2 linked regions of the Daphnia pulex genome follow. Each later gene encodes a partner of the first gene's protein in a complex. Links are inferred from orthologs where the notes say so. Each region holds a gene or a part of one and is shown on either strand. Other genes may lie near its edges. The genes, in order: kinase suppressor of Ras 2-like and dual specificity mitogen-activated protein kinase kinase 1-like.

What was found.
Region 2: the proteins of kinase suppressor of Ras 2-like (region 1) and dual specificity mitogen-activated protein kinase kinase 1-like are in contact, whole or in part, in a cryo-EM structure (PDB 8BW9), measured with the Drosophila melanogaster proteins. The link is inferred for Daphnia pulex from reciprocal best matches to the Drosophila melanogaster genes ksr and Dsor1. Residues at the interface, in NP_001287177.1 of Drosophila melanogaster: Gln767, Tyr828, Asp830, Met831, Gly832, Leu833, Gly834, Val835, His837, Arg849, Ala850, Leu851, Gln852, Asp888, Gln889, Pro890, Ala891, Glu892, Ser893, Ile895, Trp896, Gln897, Gly899, Arg900; in NP_511098.1 of Drosophila melanogaster: Gly98, Gly99, Lys123, Asp236, Met238, Ala239, Asn240, Ser241, Phe242, Val243, Gly244, Thr245, Ser247, Met249, Arg253, Leu254, Gln255, Gly256, Ala310, Met311, Ala312, Ile313, Phe314, Leu317, Asp318, Val321.

Annotation. Positions count from the first base shown.
Region 1 is NC_060019.1:3,429,540-3,438,869, forward strand, and holds kinase suppressor of Ras 2-like, read right to left. Parts: upstream 8,311-9,330; 5' UTR 7,941-8,310; coding exon 7,767-7,940; intron 7,708-7,766; coding exon 7,422-7,707; intron 7,361-7,421; coding exon 7,112-7,360; intron 7,051-7,111; coding exon 6,897-7,050; intron 6,468-6,896; coding exon 6,220-6,467; intron 6,149-6,219; coding exon 6,008-6,148; intron 5,933-6,007; coding exon 5,816-5,932; intron 5,741-5,815; coding exon 5,591-5,740; intron 5,505-5,590; coding exon 5,331-5,504; intron 5,262-5,330; coding exon 5,142-5,261; intron 5,049-5,141; coding exon 4,840-5,048; intron 4,773-4,839; coding exon 4,599-4,772; intron 4,526-4,598; coding exon 4,340-4,525; intron 4,251-4,339; coding exon 4,117-4,250; intron 4,046-4,116; coding exon 3,911-4,045; intron 3,841-3,910; coding exon 3,558-3,840; 3' UTR 3,198-3,557; downstream 1-3,197. Other genes in the region: carboxypeptidase D-like, read left to right, coding at 497-826, 915-1,082, 1,532-1,779, 1,906-2,234, 2,317-2,403, 2,474-2,537, 2,623-2,740; replication factor C subunit 5-like, read left to right, coding at 8,697-8,787, 8,863-8,946, 9,018-9,061, 9,159-9,321.
Region 2 is NC_060027.1:2,189,027-2,199,143, forward strand, and holds the start of dual specificity mitogen-activated protein kinase kinase 1-like, read left to right. Parts: upstream 1-7,469; 5' UTR 7,470-7,715; coding exon 7,716-7,882; intron 7,883-7,937; coding exon 7,938-8,172; intron 8,173-8,242; coding exon 8,243-8,355; intron 8,356-8,413; coding exon 8,414-8,525; intron 8,526-8,593; coding exon 8,594-8,770; intron 8,771-8,844; coding exon 8,845-9,043; intron 9,044-9,084; coding exon of another isoform or gene 9,085-9,106; coding exon 9,107-9,291; intron 9,292-9,357; coding exon 9,358-9,465; 3' UTR 9,466-10,117. Other genes in the region: alsin-like, read left to right, coding at 695-2,337, 2,411-3,207, 3,274-3,482, 3,544-3,766, 3,834-4,020, 4,081-4,966, 5,036-5,246, 5,312-5,841 and 1 more; 60S ribosomal protein L17-like, read right to left, coding at 6,099-6,302, 6,482-6,619, 6,800-6,934, 7,003-7,083. UniProt on the Drosophila melanogaster protein: Required downstream of Raf in the sevenless (sev), torso (tor), and Drosophila EGF receptor homolog (DER) signal transduction pathways.

The sequences.
Region 1 (9,330 bases):
GCCTATTGATGTCCAAGGTCAACAAATTCTCCCCTTGTCTTGACCACAAATCAGTTGAATGTCCTGTTCTGAATGCAAGTCAGTGTTCCTCAAACAAGTCCGGAGCATCGTTGCAGGTTTCAACCAAAGCCCGAAACGGTTAAATCTTCACGAAGTGACAGCAAATGTCGGATACGCAAATATGGATTTCTCTTTGTATTGTGCCGGCTGAGTGGTTGGCAACGAAGCCTCAAGTCACCCTGAAGATTCCTTCGCTCTTCGACGTATGTATAATAGGAACTATTTCTCTGTGGGGTTCCATGCCCCTTAGCCAAGACGTTACACTCGTGATAAAACAGAACGACAGACGTGTTCAAGGTTGAAACCCAACAGGTGAGTCGTCTCACATCGCGCCGCGCTCTTCTCTTACCAGCAAGGTAATCACGTTCGCTCTCACCCAAGTATACTTAGTTGAGCGCAGTTCGTCGACTAAACCAGTCGCCTTCGAATACAAATCATGGTCGGCCGTGTTATTTGGTCGCGCTTGTTAGTTTTAAGTACCCTGGTGTTGGCCGTGCTTAGTTTGCCCACACCGTCTGAGTCTGAGACAAAGAAAACGGGGAATGATGATTTCAATCCCGAAACCGACGATTTCGTGCCCGCCGATCGTTACTTAACTCACGAGGAAATGATTACCTGGCTTCGGAGCGTAGCTCGTCGTCATCCGAAAATTGCCAAAGCTTTTTCGATTGGCAAGAGCGAGCAGGGTCGCGAACTCCTTGTGTTAGAATTGAGTCATTCGGTTGAACGAGGTGAACGTGATCTTCTTATGCCCATGGTGAAATTGGTAGGTGTTTTCTTTGTCGATTTTTTTGTAAATTGAATTAAAGATTTTGTACGCTCGTGACCAAAATTTACTTTGATATACTCACCAGGTTGGTAACATCCACGGAAATGAAGTTGTCGGTCGCCAATTGTTGCTTCGCACCATCTCTCACTTGATTCAAAAAAACAATGTCGATTCAAAAATTACTCGTCTGTTGAACACCACCGATATCTTCTTTCTCCCCTCAATGAATCCTGATGGCTTCGTTAAAGCTCGGGTATGCAACTTTTTGTTTTTTTGCTGCATTTTGTCTTGATGGAAAGCGAAATGGCCCTCTTTTCACTACACGCCATGAAATGGATTAACTAAGCACCCTGATCTCATATTTAAACCCTAAAGAGGCATGAAATTTACGTTTCGCTGCTGAAACAGCATTCAAGCGTATACGCGCAAAATGATTTCATCGCAATTAATCTGAACATACTTTCACCAGAGTTGATTTTACAGTCTTGACAGAACGAGAATAACGGAATAAATTACAAAAAAAGGTCAAGAGAGAGAGAAGCGAAATAAATTAGAGTATTAGACGGTTACAAAAATAACTAAACTTTCATTCTGAAATTAGAAAATTTTTAAAAATAGATCAATGAATATTCTATTCCAGATTTATTGTTGGATAATTATTCCTAATGCAGTCGTTAAGAAAATATTGTTTTATTTGAACAGGAAGGTGATTGCTGGTCAGGCGGACCGGAGGGAGGCCGTCTGAATGCTAATAACATTGATCTCAATCGGGATTTCCCCGATCAATTCAAAACTGAAGACAAATTATTAAGAAGCCAAAGCGAATTTCAACAAGGTAGAGCTTCTGAAACTCAAGCCGTTATCAAATGGATTTTGGACAATCCATTCGTCCTCTCCGCAAGTTTACACGGAGGAGCCGTCGTGGCCAGTTATCCTTATGATGGTTCCGGGTAAATAACTTAATTTTTTAAGTTCATCAACTCCTCGATTAACCTAAATATTCACAGATTTCCCAAAATTATTTTAAGATTCAATAATAAATGTTGTTTTCCTATTTTTAACTGTATGATTTACAGTACTGGTCAACACCAGGGATTTTATAGTGCTGCCCCAGACGACAAAGTATTCCGCAAGCTCTCTCAAGATTACGCTGACCGCCATCCTTTAATGAAAAAAGCCGACACATGTGGTGTGGGATTCAAAGACGGAATTACTAACGGAGCGTACTGGTACGACTTGAAAGGCGGCATGCAGGATTTCAACTACGTCCACTCAAATGCGTTCGAAGTTACACTGGAGTTGTCCTGCTGTAAATACGCTCCGGCTACGGAATTGCCAGCGGAATGGCAATATAATCGTAGACCTCTCCTAAACTACATTGCATCTACCCATCGTGGAGTGCGAGGTGTGTATTGTTTTATTTTCTGTAAATGGTTCAGATTGTATATGAAACCAGACATATTTAATGAAAAATGAGATGATTATAGGTTTGGTCGTTGACAAGGATACAAAGCGACCGATCAGAAATGCTTACGTTCACGTTTTTGGAATTGACAAAAACATCACCACTACAGGTACTTTTCTACTCAGGTTTAAGATTCAATGAGGACGTAATTCAATTCATTCTTTAATTAATTCTTACAGAAAGAGGAGAATACTGGCGCCTCTTAACTCCTGGCAGATACACCATTCAATCTTACGCTGAAGGGTAATTTTAAAAGACACTTTTGATATTTATAAATTGGTGGATGTTCTAATTGGTGTCTAAATTCGAAATGCTTTATGTTTCTTAGATTTAACCCAAGCAGCAGCCGAAACATTGAAATCACAGATATTTATACAGAACAACTCAATTTTGAATTGGAGCCAAAAGTTCGCCAAACGACCATTACTCGCCTTATTTGCGATTAAATGTATATCTAATTATAACAGGAAAGCGCGGTGTTCAACATCCGGAATCGGGAATTTTTTTAAGAATTGAATGTTCGAATTCATGCAACAAACAGCCCTTTTCAGTAAAATTAACCACCCTTTATTTATTGGTGAAAATGAAATGGTGGTAGGTCTGAAAATCAAATACACAGGGAGAAAAAAGTTCTGTTGTTAACGCTACATCTTTTTCTCGATTTTTCACACTCAATAATCCCAGATATTTTAATCATCCGTAATGAGTCAGAGCGAAATTTAGTTTTGCAATTTACGTCAGTAGGCTATTAAAAAATGAACATGTATAAAATAAACGCACCTTAAATAAAATAAAGACATGAACAAAAATGAGAATATCTTCCATGTAAAAGACATTTTTTAGCTGGCGAATTCAATGTTTATAATCACTTCAGAAATTCAAAGTAAAATATCTGAAGACAAATTACAAATGACTGAAACACTTTATTGACAGGCACAAACAAGAGGGAAGGTTGCGGGGACTAAATGAGCGGCGCGCCTACAAACTATCATACCGGCACATGTCAACTAATTTACTAAAATGCACAATATGAGTAGCAACAAGACGAAAGGATTCACTTAATAATGATTCTTTCGCCTGAATGTCGGAGTTTAGTGGAAAATTTTTTTGAAACCAGATTCTTTTTGGCTATGGCCGACAAAATAACTAGCCGATATACTTACAAGAATCATTCGGGAATTATTCCAATAGTCATCTTTCTTGATTAAATTAGCAATATACGTAAACTGCGTAATCACTGATTAGTGAATGATAAGAATTTGATTAGAAAACCGATTCGGCCGATCTCGAGAGATGGACCGGATGAGACGGACTGCGAAGCAAACGTTTTTTGGGTAATCGCTCGAGTATCTTGAGTAACTTGCTGAATTCCGCCCGATCCTTGACATTAAAGGCCCAACATGCCATGAGAATGTCCTTAAGATCACGAGAAGCTTGAAGATTTGCAAGCGACTGCTTCATACCGCGGCCAATCTGCCAAATCATGGCTTCGGGGCAATGCTCCTTGTACGGCCACTCACCACACAGCAACTCGTACCAAACCGTCCTGCATAGAATCAAGTGTGTGTCCAATGAGAAAATTCAATTCATTTATAGTTCAGTTATATGAGCAGTACCCAAAGGCGTAAGCATCGGAGGCCATAGTAAAAGGAAGCTCATCATTTTCTTCACTACTGGGTTTTAAACTTCGCATGACCTCTGGCGCCATGTAGCACAGCCAACCGGGTGGAATACTAAGTGCATCACTCCTCCTAAAATCCAATCAAAATAAATAATTCAACATTAGAAATTACATTAATTCATGTTTTCAATGTATACTGACCCATGGATTTTGCAAAGCTTTGAGACGCTAAAGAGGCCAAAATCGGTTATGATAACTTTTCCATTTTCCAAAAAGATATTTTTAGACTTTAAGTCCTTATGGATGATTCCTCGTGCATGAAGGTAGCCCATACCCTAAGATTGTAGGTAGTAATAACAGAAACATCAATGAATAATCCGCGTAATTGCAGTGACAACAGAACTTTCACTGACGACCAACTAACCTGAGATATTTGCTGGGCAATAATAACCGTTTTATTCATGCTGAATTTGTCTTTGCGTAAGTGAAGATGTGTATACAAGGTCAGGCCTTTACACATGCTCGTCACGAGCGCTAAGGTTGGCAAGTTCATGCATGCACCCATAAATAAAACTAAATTCTCATGCCGAGTTTTACGAAAGGTAGCCACCTGAATTAGAGATGGGGAAAAAATGTGAATTAGCACAAACAGTGAAGAGAAAATAAAAATTATTATTTCTTACCTCAAGTTTGAAAGATTCTAAAACTTTCTCATCTCCAATCTGATCCATATTCAAGAGTCTAACAGCCACATCACCATGCCAAATGCCCCGGTGAACGGTACCAAACCTACCCTGACCAATAGGATCTCCAAGTTCGAGCTCGTGAAACGGTATGTCCCACTCTCGAAGCGACAGCTAATGAAAATGAAAAACAAATACAATTGCTTTCAAATTGCAAATAAATAAAATTTGATTCACTAACGCTATTTTGGCGAGGCCAATGACGATCTCCCGATGTTTCAGTGTCAGAGATTTGACTGTCTTGCGAATCAACTCTGTAGGTGCGCTCCGAATCTGTACTCGTCGAATTTGATCCCGAAGTACCAGAAAGACCAGACACGGAGATAATCTTATTCGAATCTTGTGATGCATGTCCACTTGTTGAGTTCTCGACGGAAGGATTTCCGGATGCTGCCAAAGCAAGATTTTGAGAAAAGAATTTTAAATTCGTTACACATTTAAAACACGGTCTAGAATGTAGAAAATTCCAACCAATTATGGTACCTGGACTTAGGGTGGTGACAGAGTTGATAACGGAAGTACTATTCTTTGCCGACAATGGAACGTGGGATAATGGCGATAACAATGTTTCGGCACTTTGTGCTCGATCAGCTTGGCGAACATCTGTTGTTAGATGACCGTAAAAATTTACATCATTACGACTGAAACATATTTTTAAGTTTTAAATAGTACCAGGAAAGCGGAATTGTGTGATTTGTGATGCCGAAGTTGGCGTGTGATTTGCGGAAATGTGCGAAGGTAGAACTAAAGCTGGGCTTGAGGGAGTTGAACTGCTACAGCTAGATGTAGTCGAACTTGAATCAAAATGTGTAGAGTGTAGACCAAAGCCGGACGTCGACCCACCTCCTATGAAGAAAATTGTGAACAAAATTTTACTTCAGAAGTCCAGTCACATGTTTGGCACAGAAAACTAAAGTAAATTGAAGTCAAACCCTGATTCATATGAATGGCAGGTTGTGTCCTGGACTTTTTCTTGTCGTGTGGCGTGAGTCGGTTCAACGAAGGAGACGGAACCGACGTCGTACTACTACCAATCGTATTACTGATTCCAGTTGTTCGCTGCATGATCGGCGTTTGAGGACCTGCAGATGAGTTTTTTGTGATTGACTAAACTTAAAAAGATTCGATGTCTTACTTAACATATGGAGATCACTTACCATCGTTGATACGCTGACGAACATAGTCTATTAAGCCAGGTGGAAGTTTACAGGACGGCGGTACTTTGGTGGCACAATCCCGATGACATTTATATTTACAATCTTTACATTTTAGACCTAGAACCAGACAAAAAATTAAGAAATGATTTTAAGGTACGTATTATGATATGATTTTTTCCCATTAAGACTTGCCTATGAACATTTGCTTCAAGCAGAGGTCACATACTGTCAACATCTTGAAAGTCATCGTAAATCGGTGATTTATGGTATGAGCCATAACGGCCGGTCCGCCAACAGTGGGAGTCCGTGGAGATTTCGGCGTCGCAACAGTTGCTAAACAGAAAACATGAAACATTGGAAAAAAAACAAACAATAAAAGCTAAGGGGAAAAAAATGCAAATTACATTTTGGTATGTCATCATTGGAGTCGTCTGTGATGCTGCAAGGATCGGTGGCCAATCGGTGTCGCCCTTTGGACGGGGTTGAGGAAGTTGGCACGGCACCAGCCGGCGAGGCTCCAGGCAAATTGCTATTCGAAGTTGGTACAGGAGAACTGCTTCCAGTTACCGCCAAGTGTTCCATGCTACGTCCCAGCCAATAAGCGTTAGGTTTGGTACGACGAAAGCGGGACAGAAGCATAGTACTGGCACCACTACAGAGAAAAGTTATACACCCACCACCCATTCACGCGCGACAATAACGAGGCCATTTAATTACCACGAGTAGAACGTGGATTAATGTTGTTACCAAAATATTTAAATCCAAGCCAATAAGCCATGTAAACCCAATTTGAAGGTAATGGAAACATAGTTAGTTAGTAAAGGACATGGATGGGGGAAATGAATAAAAAGATCATAAAGAACAAAAAATCAGTATTCATGCTAGGTAATATATGAACGTCAGTTAAATGTTTCTGATGCAGTTCTTCTGGTCGAGAATTGTCATCGCCAGCCTTCGTGATGATGTGCATTCGCTTAACAATTCCAAGACATTTCTTAAAATATACATTAATTCTAACATTTCGCTAGAACTGTTGATGCGCTCAGATTTTCGAATAATAAAAGGAATAGTTTTTTTTTACCTGATAATATCATTTCCGTCGATTCTATTGGCTAGCTGGGATTCGTGGGAGGTAGATTTCGTAAGAGGGAAATCCGTCAATAGTGGCGCAGTACCACCAATAACCTGGTTTTTCTTGCGAGGTGGTGGAGTTGCAGGGAATTTCATACGATCTCCTAAATTGGAATTTCATTAGTTTCAACCACGCTAGTTAATAGCCGACTCCATGTATTTTACCTCTTCCTTTTAATAAAGATGGAGTAGAGGGAGGGCTGCGGTTTTCCGAAGTCATTTGCGGAATGGTTTCATGGGCAGTTATTATACTTTGAATGGGGGATGAATTTTGTATAACACTGTCATTGTGCTGTATGTTAGAGGACATTGGCATTGACATTTTTGTAGCATTATCCCAGGAATCCCAGTAAAGCGCTAAGTCAGGTGTTGTTCGGCCACTATTACCTTCCTTTTCATTATGTACCAGAACTTCTGCAATGTCAAAGCTCTTAGAGTTGGATCAGTTAAACATTTTTATAAATGAATATCTTACCAGTATATCTCTTAACACTCTGAAGTGCTCTTATCAAGCGCCTGTATTCATCTTCTTTTGCAGAACACTCATTGAAGATCCTTTTAATTTCATGATCACTGAGTTCTTGCAAAGATTCAAGAGATTGAAATTTGGCACACAAGGTTTCAACAGATGGCTGAGATATTCCAACAACTTGAAGCCATTGCTTGATTGACGGAATGTTTTTGACTTCATATGGTAATCCCTCTATGGGAATTTTGGCTTTTGCAACTAGCTGTTTGCTGAATAATTTGACTAGTTTACCCTGTTAAAATATTGAAATGATTTAATTCAGAAAATTCTTTTAAATAGTAAACATCTTACCTCTATGGTTCTGATTTCTTGTTGAATCAACTCAGCACTGGTAGAGCACTGGGTTCTCAACCCTTCTAGATGTTTAGCATGAATGTCTATCATTGCATTGATATCTAAGAGCGTTTGAATGGTGTTACAGCTGTTGACCACAACAACAGCTTTCTTTGTGATTCCAGTATCCATTCTTAAGGGTATCTATATCTAGTACTTTGGTTGTTATTGCAGAACTTTACGTACGAAATTGCATATTATTCAGACGCAAACCGTCAACACTCAAAGCTCTTCGGACTCCCGACTAATCATGTTTCCAAAGGCTTCCTCACCCACCGTACTTCTTTGTTATATGACTATCCAATGTTTTAGAAATCCATCGCGGTGTATAAGCGGTTTAAACGAACGAAAATGCACAGAGTTCCAATTTCGCAGACGCCATAACAACAATAACTAATGCCATCATAAGCGAATGTATTGCAATACATTACAGTCAGTCAGTATCAATAGAATCACTGATTATTCCATTTTTTCCACTACAGTCCGCGTACTTCTGCATTGTGTAGTAGCCATCTATGGTCCGAAAAATTAAACTGGTGTTGAATCGAGATTTAGTGTGATTTAATGTTATCAGTTATAAAATATTGTTCAATTCATTTGGTCTTGTAAAATACGGTGAATAATTTTATTTGTATGGATTTATTATTTTATTTTAAATGGAATTAGTTTTGTAAATCGATTAAATTGGCATTGGTGTCAAGTCAAGTTACTTTAGGCGCGCTTTACTTGTCTAAGAAGACGACGTGCATTTAGTTCCATACAATTTCGGTTTGTTTTTAATTTAATAAGTTTAATCAATTTAAAAACTAACAAGTTATAGAACATATCTGTAGGAAGTACCTAAATAATCATAATAAGAGGCCTCTGGTATCTAGAGTTTCTTCGGAAATGACTTCCTCGGGAAATCTGCCGTGGGTGGAAAAATATCGACCAAAACAGTTGGATGACTTGATTTCTCACCAAGATATCATTTCAACAAGTAACTCTCTATATAATTCTATTAATTTTCAAAAATGTTTCATTGCATTGCATTTTCTCTAATAAAAATTTGCAGTTCGCAAGTTCATAAATGAAAATCGATTACCTCATTTACTTTTTTATGGACCTCCTGGAACTGGAAAAACAAGCACCATTCTTGGTATTAATATTCAATAAATATTACATTAGATTTTATTTCATGATTTGACTAATCAATTCATTCAAAATTAGCATGCGCGAAAGAACTGTATACACCCCAGCAATTCAATTCCATGGTGAATAATGTTACACAATTAAAATATCCATGTTATATTACATTCTTTCTTAGTTCAAAGACATCCTACAATCTAAAACTTTTTATTTTATGTGAAGGTTCTTGAACTAAATGCTTCTGATGACCGAGGCATCAATGTTGTAAGAAATCAGATCATGAGTTTTGCTAGCACAAGATCAATATTCAAATCAGGCTTCAAACTTATTATCTTGGATGAAGCTGATGCTATGACTAATGATGCTCAAAATGCACTTAGAAGAGGTGATATTT
Region 2 (10,117 bases), on another chromosome or scaffold:
TAAATGAATCAAAAAACAAAAAACAGAAAAAAAGAGAACATTGAAGTGAAAAATTTAGTGTGGACACCACGAAACCAAAACCCAATTTTTGTTGTTCTATTCATCATCATAGAGAATAATAAGCTGTAATGTGTGTGTGTGTGTCTCCTTCCTATATCACCTCGCCCGGAATATCCATCGCCGTAGAGTATCTTAACGTTGTGTGTTTCTGTTTTAGCTTCACTATAGACATTATAGAGAGAAATATTACTTTAATAACTCCCGTCTACCATTTGCGGTCATTCTTATCCGATTCTCAAAAAGTATCATGCAATTCCGGTTAAGAAAATCGACAACTACTGGAAGACGGGCGGGGAAACAACATACGAAAAATCCCCCTCCCCTCATAATCCCTCAAGCCGTCATAGGCGTATTTGTGAAGAAGAAAAAAGATAATTGGCCAAATGTGTGTGTTGTAAAGGACAAATACCAATACAGATTATATATACTACCTAACAAACAGATGATGATTTTCTTTGAAAACGGATTAGCGATCTAGAGAGAATTGAAATCTTATCGCTAGATGGCTCAGTCCTTCTATCAAACACAGCTGAGAAAAAGGGGATGTTATGATTACTCTGTATGGTGCGGTTGTTTTCGTTGGTAGGTGTTAAAGTTTCTTCTCTGGTGTAGCGATCCAGGAAAGAAACCAAAAATGAGTGAATCTGCGAATGTGATAGCCTGGGAAGAAGGCGAACCAGCTGCAGCACTTTTGGCACCGGAACAAGCCATGACGGCCGTTGTTTCGTCAAGGCTCGGACAAGTGTTCTTTCTGACTGAAGACGGCAGAGTGTACCTGTCGACTCTCAAACAAGATGGATTGAGTGGGAAATTGCAAGAGTTGGCACTTCCTTGCCAGACTGTGGTTGGTATTGCATGCAATTCGATACACACCATTTTTGTGACTGATCGGGGTAGAGTTTTGAGGTCTGAATTAGAAACCCCTGAAAAAGTAGAGGAGCTGGCCATCAAGCAACCAAATCTCTGCTGCCCTCATGGTGTTGTAGAAGACGGAGGAAGACTCTTTGTAAGAGAAGTTTCTTCCCACTCAAAAAACTTGTTGTTCATCTCAGATTCGGGCAAAGTATGGGCAGTGGATGAAAGCAAGTCGTTGTTGCCAGATAAATTGCCAGCCTTCGAGAACAAAGTACCCATAAGTATTATGTGTGGTAGCAACTTTAGCACCGCTCTCATCCAAGACTGTGAAAATTCTAACGATGATAGTATCAGCAAGCCTGGTGTAGCAAATTCTAGCAAAAGCAGCAGGGATTCCTTGGACAAAGCAAACTCATCAAAGGAAGGTCCTTTGGATGGATTGTGCATGGTTGGTTCCTGTCTAGAGTGTAGAGAGCAAAGTCTTTTGTCTCTGCACACGCTGGATCTCAACGACTCTCAACGAATGAACCAGGAAGATTTCAAAGACAATGTCAACTCTCTAGCTCAAGTTTGCTGGTCCAAGGCAGATCATCTAGTCCGTCAAAGCGCTTTGTTGCTCAACTCGACGCCCCAACTCGACGCGGCCAAACAGTTTTTAACGAAGCAGCTATCGTGGGTCACCGGGTCCGAATCGGATGACTGTAACAATAGTCCAGGAGCGGCGTCATCGTTAGAAAGTGGCAATAACGTGACTCAACAGGTGGCCAGCCGAGTTGTGGAAGGAGTCCGAAACTTGGGCGATGCCGTCAACCGCATGTCTCGGCATTGGAGCGGAACCAGCCAAGAGGAAACTCCATCCGTTCCAGCTGCATCAGCTCCTGTCGAAGTTGCCGGCAGTGAAACGCTTAGTCTACCAGCCGCTTTGCCCAGTAGTAGCAGCGGTGAGGATTCACCCGCAGCACCGGCAACACCTCGATTTATCGTCCGACAGTCGCTTCAGAGTCATCATCGGTGGAAACGCAATGGATCGTCAAGTTTATCCCTCGATTCGACGCTTGTCCGGATGACAGATCGAGAAAAATCTACCGGACTTCAACCGGATCGTCTCGTTTCGTTGGGAAGGCAACTACTTTTTACGTCTGTCTGGACGTGGGGTCAAGGAGGAGTCGGCCAGCTCGGACTATCAGATTGCGTCTCACGCGAAGTCCCCCAAACTGTCCGTCCTCTACTTGGCATAGGCATCTGTAAAGTGGTGTGCGGTTCACGGCATTCATTGGCCCTCACGTTGGATGGGCGTGTACTGGCGTGGGGAGCTAATAACAAAGGACAAGTCGAGCCCGGTGAAGACCTATCTTTCATGTCAGTCCCGACAGAAGTATCCTTACCTTTCCGTACTACCATCCGAGATATTGCGGCCGGAAGGTATACATCAATTTCAATCCAATTGTCTCTATAATTTATTGTTGGCTCATTTTCCTTTTATTTTTTACTACAGAGAACATTCGTTATTGCTGACGAGTCACGGCGAAGTGCTTTTTATGGGATTCTCAATGGCCACTCAAAAGTCCACATTGATGAGATTAAATCTACCGGCCCAAAGCCCGACTGGTAGACCGAGTCGAGTATGGGCTACCGGACCACTTAGTTGTTGTTTGCGCTGCAATCAGAGCTGCCCCTGCTGGCCCCATTGGTCCGAGTTTGTTTTATCAGAACAGCTATTTTTAAGAAATTGCCTGAAAGTCGTCCGTGGCATTTTTGATCATTTGGAATCCGCAACAACATCAACATCAACTACCTCAACCGTCCGTCGAGAGTTGTTCGATCGATACCGAGACTTGATGGCTTGCACGGCCGTCAATGTTCACTCGCTGATCGAATCGGACAATTGTGCCAACCTCAGTATTGGTCTCGTTCGTTGGATTAATGAATTCATGCACGTTTGGCGTGGTTACGGTCAGGCCCTCTGTAACGCCACTGTCGTCCATGCGCTCACACTCAACAAGACCGAAAATGCACTTTTAGATCCAGAATATATCCAACAGGGAAGCGTCGGTCGAGCCGGCAGTGATATCCTGACCACATTGATGAACGAGCCTCTAGGACGACTCAAAGATTATTCATCACAACTGGAGAAAATGATTGAAAGTCATCTTCAACGAAACGATAAAAACATCGATTGTTATAAACATGCTAGTCAACAATGTTCAAATATTGCTGCCGATTTGATGCAGGATTGTCAAACAGCAGATCTCACTAAGACCTTCTGGGATAGTTGTTCCACGAAACTAATGGGTACTACCGTTTAAATTTAAAATTTGTTTTTACTGAATTAGTAAATCATTTATATTTCCGGTTTAGATGCTTTGAGAACTCCAGTCCGTCGTCTGATCCGTGAATCCCGAACTCACCCCATTACTCTGGTTAATTCCGGTCGCTTTTCATCGCATTGGTTCATTATCTTAACTGACGTGCTTGTCCACGTCAGCGGATCATCTAATCATGTCACATATCCATTGGCCACTATTTGGGTCGAGCCGATGCAAGATAGCGATAACATCCAGACCAAGGTATCATCCAAATATTTAATAAACATTAATGTTGACTCATTCTTAGAATGGTTTATTGTAGAATGGACTTTCATTAACGATGCCGGAAGAGACCATGACGCTGGCTTGTCCAACTGCCGGTGACAAGATGGAATGGCTGGTAGCTCTTCAATCTGCCATCAGGCATGCGCTTTTAATTGACGATGTAGGATCCAGCAGTAGCGGACGAACTACGCCACCACTTGTACGGTCCGCCTCATATACTTTTACCAAGTTGCCTCATTTGAAGGATGTCACGTACAAAGGTGAGTCATGCGACACAAAAAGACTACAAATTTTCTAGAATGAAATGAACACGTTTTCCATCGGCAGGGGCTTGGTTGTGTGGCAAAATGCATGGAGAGGGTGAATTAAACTGGCCAGACGGCCGGGTTTACAAAGGAAGTTTTCGGCAGAACCAGCAGTACGGATATGGTTCTTCAGAATCATTTGGCCCCAACGGCTCTACTTATGAAGGCAGCTGGAAGGATGGCAAGATGAACGGATACGGCATTCTCAAGTATAACGAGGTTTCCAGTTACAAGGGATCATTCATTAAAAAACTGCTTTTGAAATTCAGATACGCCAACGGAGATGTTTACGAAGGAAACTTTCAAGACGGCCAACCGCATGGACACGGTACGCTCAAACGAGGTCATTTTCTCACCTCTGCCGCACATGTCTACGTTGGCCAATGGGAAGCTGGGCAAAAGTGTGGCTACGGAGTCATGGACGACATCGTCACTGGTGAAAAGTACATGGGAATGTGGCAAGCGGACGCCAGGCATGGTCAAGCTGTTCTAGTTACTTTGGACGGTCTCTACATTGAAGGCAGCTTTACCAATAACAAGATGACTGGGCAGTGCGTCATGTTATTAGAAGACGGAACGAGCTACGAAGGTGAAGTGGCTGGCGTGGGTATTCTTGGCGGCAAGGGCCTCCTTCAGTTCCCAAACGGTGATATTATTCAGGGTACTTTTCACGGCTCTTGGTCTGATGGAATTAAAATCAACGCCACCTTGACCAAAAATTCTTTAACTGCACAATCACCATTGAGTCCACCTTCCGGACTGTCCATTGGCCATTTTCAACAACAAAACGGATCAGGTGTTCCAGCCGAACGAAAATGGGGGGCCATTTTCCAACAATGCTGCTCAACTCTTGGTCTTTCTCCGAATTGCACGCAATGGACAGCCGATGATTCACTTCGTGCTTGGGACCAGATTGCAGCTGTGCTTAATCAATGTAAACAGAGAACAACCAACGACCATCATATCCGCCCGAAGATACAACACCATCGTCGCCAGGGATCGTCTATTTCGTCCAAGTCAATCAAGTCCGAAAGATTAGCTTCCGCTCAACCAGTATCCGTAGAAATCCCCGAAATTCTTCAGCATATCCCAGACTACGGACGAAATCAGCTTAATGGCGACGAGTTTGTCAAGATAGAAACTTATTTACATATGGTATTGAATTGATTCTCTTGTTTTATTATTGGTGCACTTGGAAACTTTTTTACTTTGCTCCAATTACAGGCTTTAGAATCAGAGATCCATCCATTAGGAAAATTAGCAGCCCAGATAGGAGATGTCTATCGAGCTACTTACGTCGGAGTGGGTGCCCACCCTCGACTTCTACCTCATGCAGTTTCAGAAGTTCACTCGTTTGTTAGCCGTGTTTATGCTTTTGTCCGGCTTCTCTTCCCAGCTCTTCCAGAAGACCGTGCTGTTCATCTGATTCCAAATGGTATGTACAGTCACACACATAAGAAAAAATCAAAAGACTTAAAGATAAAATTTTGTTGATGACAGAACCGTCGAACGATCATCCACAAGAATTGCAGGCCGTGGTTTCAGCCAATACTCTACTTCTGCCCGTACTTTTACCCCGACTCTATCCTCCACTTTACACTCTGTACGTTCTACACAACCAAAAGTTGGACGATCTTTATTGGGAACGACTTCAAAAATGGAATCGACAATCAGATTCGGCTCTAATGAATTTTCTGGGAGTCGATCCCAAGTTTTTTATCGAGGAAGTTGCTCCGGAAGGAAGTCACTTTCCAACAGCTGTAGATTGTCTACAACAGCTGAGTACTACATTTTCTCCTGGGAAGAAGCTCCAAGTTATTCACCAGACATTCCAAGAAGTCAGTCGTTCGGTACAGGCACATTTAGGAGCTGATTATGTCATGAACATGGATGATCTCTTCCCGGTATTTCTTTTCGTCGTTGTTCGTTCGAGAATTCGTCATCTCGGCACAGAGATTCATCTAATAGAGGATTTCATCGATAAGAATGTGCAAAATGGCGAACTAGATGTCATGTTTACTACACTGGAGGTATATATTTTTCTTTAGTTAAATACTTTTTTTTTTTACTAAAATTTTATGTTATTTTGCTAGGCTTCCTACCAGTACATTCAGCATGAGAAGATGACCTTTAATTGAAATCAGAATCAAATTATTTTAAGCGTTCGTTGTCAATCGCAATAAATATAATTATCGTGGTAAACAGAAAATAACAATTTTAATTCGAGCGTCACCAACGTTGTATTTCAGGCAACACAAAGGGTTAACAAAGTGTTTACAGGAAAAGTTTATTCCCTCTGGGACAACTTTTGGCGAGCCAACTTCTTCTTTGAAACCTTCTTTTTGTTGGTAACTTCCTCCTCCTTGACTTTGGAAACAATGTCTTCCTTCTCAGCCAGGATGACTTCCATGTGGCAAGGGCTGCTCATGTATGGGTTGATTCTTCCGTGAGCACGGTATGTTCGCCGACGCATGTATGGAGCACGGTTAATCTGTAAAACAGAGAAGTAATTTTAGACAACTCCTCTTTAAACTTGAAAATGAATTGACAATTCAATTTAAGTCAGATCCGTCTTGAAACATTGCAATCTGTCAGCTAGTAGTCTAGAATGCTTAGGGTTATAATCACACTATTTTGAAAAAAACTTTACACTATGATTCACTCCTGTACCTGAATGTGATCGATGACCAAGTGATCAACATCTAGACCCTTGAGGTCAGCATTGGACTCAGCATTCTTCAACAACTGCAGAAGGAACTCTGCAGACTTCTTGGGCCAACGTCCCTGGGTGGTACCCCATTGTTTAGCCTGCAAAGCAAAACATAGAGATTAGACTCCAAATAGTGGAAAGGCAACACGTTGAATCTTTCTTTAATGTCAGATCCGTCTTGAAACATTGCAATCTGTCAGCACTTTGTCTAGAATGCTTGGAGTTATAATCACACAATTTGGTCAATTTAATTCATACAAAAGAAATGAGCTACTAACCTGAGCACACCGGCCGACACCTCCGTTGTAACGACGGAATGGAACACACTCCTTATGCTGGATGACGTTCTTGAGGAAAGCAACAGCCCTCTTCAATGGCATACGCTTAATGGTGTTGGCAGCCTCCCTCGTGTTCTATTCAATCAAATTCAAGTCGTACGTTAAGAAACTTTCACAAGCGCGAGTATATGTTAAAACAATACCTTGAAGTGAACGCGGAGGTTGGAGCCCCTAGCCTTGCATGACTTGGTCGGGTTGTCCGGTTCACGCGAATATCGACCCATTTCTACACAAAATTGAACAGTTTAATGTAACACACGATAAAAACGTAATTTAATGGATCAACAAAGAACCACGACAAGTTAAAGATGTTTTAAATATCTTTGGATAACAGAAAGAGAACTCTCGTTGACTTACTTCAGAAGTGTTTGAGGGTACAAGAGAAACACCGAACCAAGAAAGAGGACTAAGGTTAACTCCTCTCTCTGCCAATAGGTGGATTCCGCTTCCATAGGGTGCGTTCTTAAATTTTCGTGAATATAATCAATTTTACAATTTTTAAAATTATTGTCGCAATTGTGAAATGTAAATATATTTATTATTTTTCAAAATAAAATAAATGTCAGTTTGCAAATATAATGGAAATGTGTGTTGAAATATTAAAAATTGCAACTACGGATTGTCCGAGGGTTGACTCTTGTCAAAACTTTTTCGCTGAACAATTTTGCAATTCTGATCTGTTGATATAGCCAGCCTACTTGTTTATTCGTGTTTGAGTTCCGCCAATAAGTTTTCTTTTGATGCATTTTTTTATATAGAGAAGGAACTGGAAGAACTTTTACTGTCATCATAAGCTGAGCGAGTTCATTTTAGTTGTAAAGCTTACGAATTTCATACATCGGAAACGAAAGGCAAAATGTCAAAAAACAAATTCAATTTAACTCTTCCTCCTGTGGAACCAGACCCAGTCTCCACCCCCAGTCCTGGAGAAACATCAGGAAGGAGTAATAACATAGCAGCAGCTATTAACTCTGCCAAATCAATGACACAGACCAGTAGTGTAGTTATACATTCTGGAATTGAGTAAGTTCACTATAAACACCAAGTTGTCATCCTCAATGATGTACATTTTTCACAGTAGCGGAAATACAACCATGGGAAATACAACATTAGAGGCTTTGCAAAAACAGCTGGAGGAACTTGATATTGATGAACTTCAACGACAGAGATTGCACAAGTTTCTCTCACAAAAGCAAGAAGTTGGTGAACTGACAGATGATGATTTTGATAAGCTTGGTGAACTAGGTGCCGGAAATGGGGGTGTAGTCACCAAAGTCAGACATCGTCCTTCTGGATTGATCATGGCCAGAAAGGTAATACCAACAGCAGAAAAAATTTAAGTGGTTTTTTTTTAACACAGATGTTTTATTTATGTTTCCCTAGTTGATACATCTTGAAGTGAAACCTGCCATTAAGAAGCAAATAATTAGAGAGCTAAAGGTGCTTCATGAGTGCAATTCACCTCATATTGTTGGGTTCTATGGAGCATTCTACAGGTACCTAATTTAAAACTTTCCCAAATGCATTTGTTAACTTTGGTTTAATTTTTTGTAGTGATGGTGAAATAAGTATTTGCATGGAATACATGGATGGAGGATCATTAGACTTGATCCTGAAAAAAGCGGGTCGTATTCCAGAACAATATCTAGGGAAGATAACAATTGCTGTAAGATGATCTAAAATTAATACTTAATCTATTAAAGGGTTCGAAATAAGAAAAGCTTTTTTGCTTAGGTTTTGAAAGGGTTGAGTTATCTTCGAGACAAACATCAAATTATACATCGCGATGTTAAACCAAGCAACATTCTGGTCAACAGTCGAGGAGAGATCAAAATTTGTGACTTTGGAGTGTCTGGTCAGCTTATTGACTCCATGGCTAACTCATTTGTAGGAACGAGAAGTTACATGTCGGTACGTCGTCTTTAAATAAGTTTAGAAAAGTCATTTTCACTTCGAAATACCATTAAAATGTATTTTTCTGCTAGCCGGAACGATTACAAGGAACACACTATTCGATTCAGAGTGATGTCTGGTCTCTTGGGCTGTCGTTAGTTGAAATGGCCATTGGCATGTACCCTATCCCCCCACCTGATCCACAGGTATTGGCCAACATTTTTGGTGCAAAATTCAGCGAAGATCCTGAGAACATGACTCCGTCTCCTAGCAGTCGATCGCCTCGACAAAGTAATAATCCATTGTTTTTCGCATTTCTTTCAAATGCTTAGAGATCCGTTCTTGAAACCGCAGGCCAATTTCCTGGAGGAGTCGGCAATGGCCCTAGGCCGATGGCGATATTTGAGCTTTTGGATTACATTGTCAATGAACCACCTCCCAAACTACCGTCCGGCGTTTTCTCTGTGGAATTCAAAGATTTTGTCGATCGGTGTCTCAAGAAAAATCCGGCTGAACGACCCGCTCTACGTACACTAATGGTCTGTTCCACAATTTTTTTTTTGTTTTTTTCTGATGTAGTTATTAAATCATTATTCTGTTCTTAGGGTCACGAATGGGTAAAAAAATGGACCTCTGAAAACGTGGAGATAGCTGGTTGGGTATGCAAGATCATCGATTTACAGCCTTCCACACCCACTAAACATCCCGAATAAATTTGTTTATTTTTTTTCTCTCCATCTGATAAACTTTAACAACTTTATTGTTAAAAGAAAGTCCATTTTTTTCTTCTTGTGCTTTTTCTAACTAAAAAAATCTTGGAAGATTACATTGGCGTTCACACACTATCCATCCAACAGTAGCACCCCAAGTCCTTGGGCTGGAAAATCTTCTGTTTCGTTTCGAGGATTCTATTTACTTGTCTACTCATCCGCCCAATTTACCACAGGGTAAGTGGATGTATTGTTTGTTTTGTTTCTTCTTTTCCAAATTTTCAGTCATAGAATTTCTGTGCGCTGCTGTGACATACGACGCGATCATACGCACAAAGTCGATCCAGCATTCTTCCAATGTGTATCTACTCTTTGTTTTCCCCGCCACACTCCAATCTTTTTGTCAAACCGTGAAGCTGCATAGTTAACAATCAAGATGAATTTTTCATCTTTGGTGTCAAGGCTTTGGAAAGAAAAGATGAGGAGGTTGGAATTTTCTTGTTGACGATTTTGGAGCGTTGTGGACTCACCCAAAACGAACATTCCAAGTTATCCTCCTATTCTTTCTTTTTCTACAATCTTCCTGGCCCGCGCCGTTTATTAGTTGCAATTTCTTTCTTTATTCTATTTCCCATCCCTTCTTTTAATGTATAGA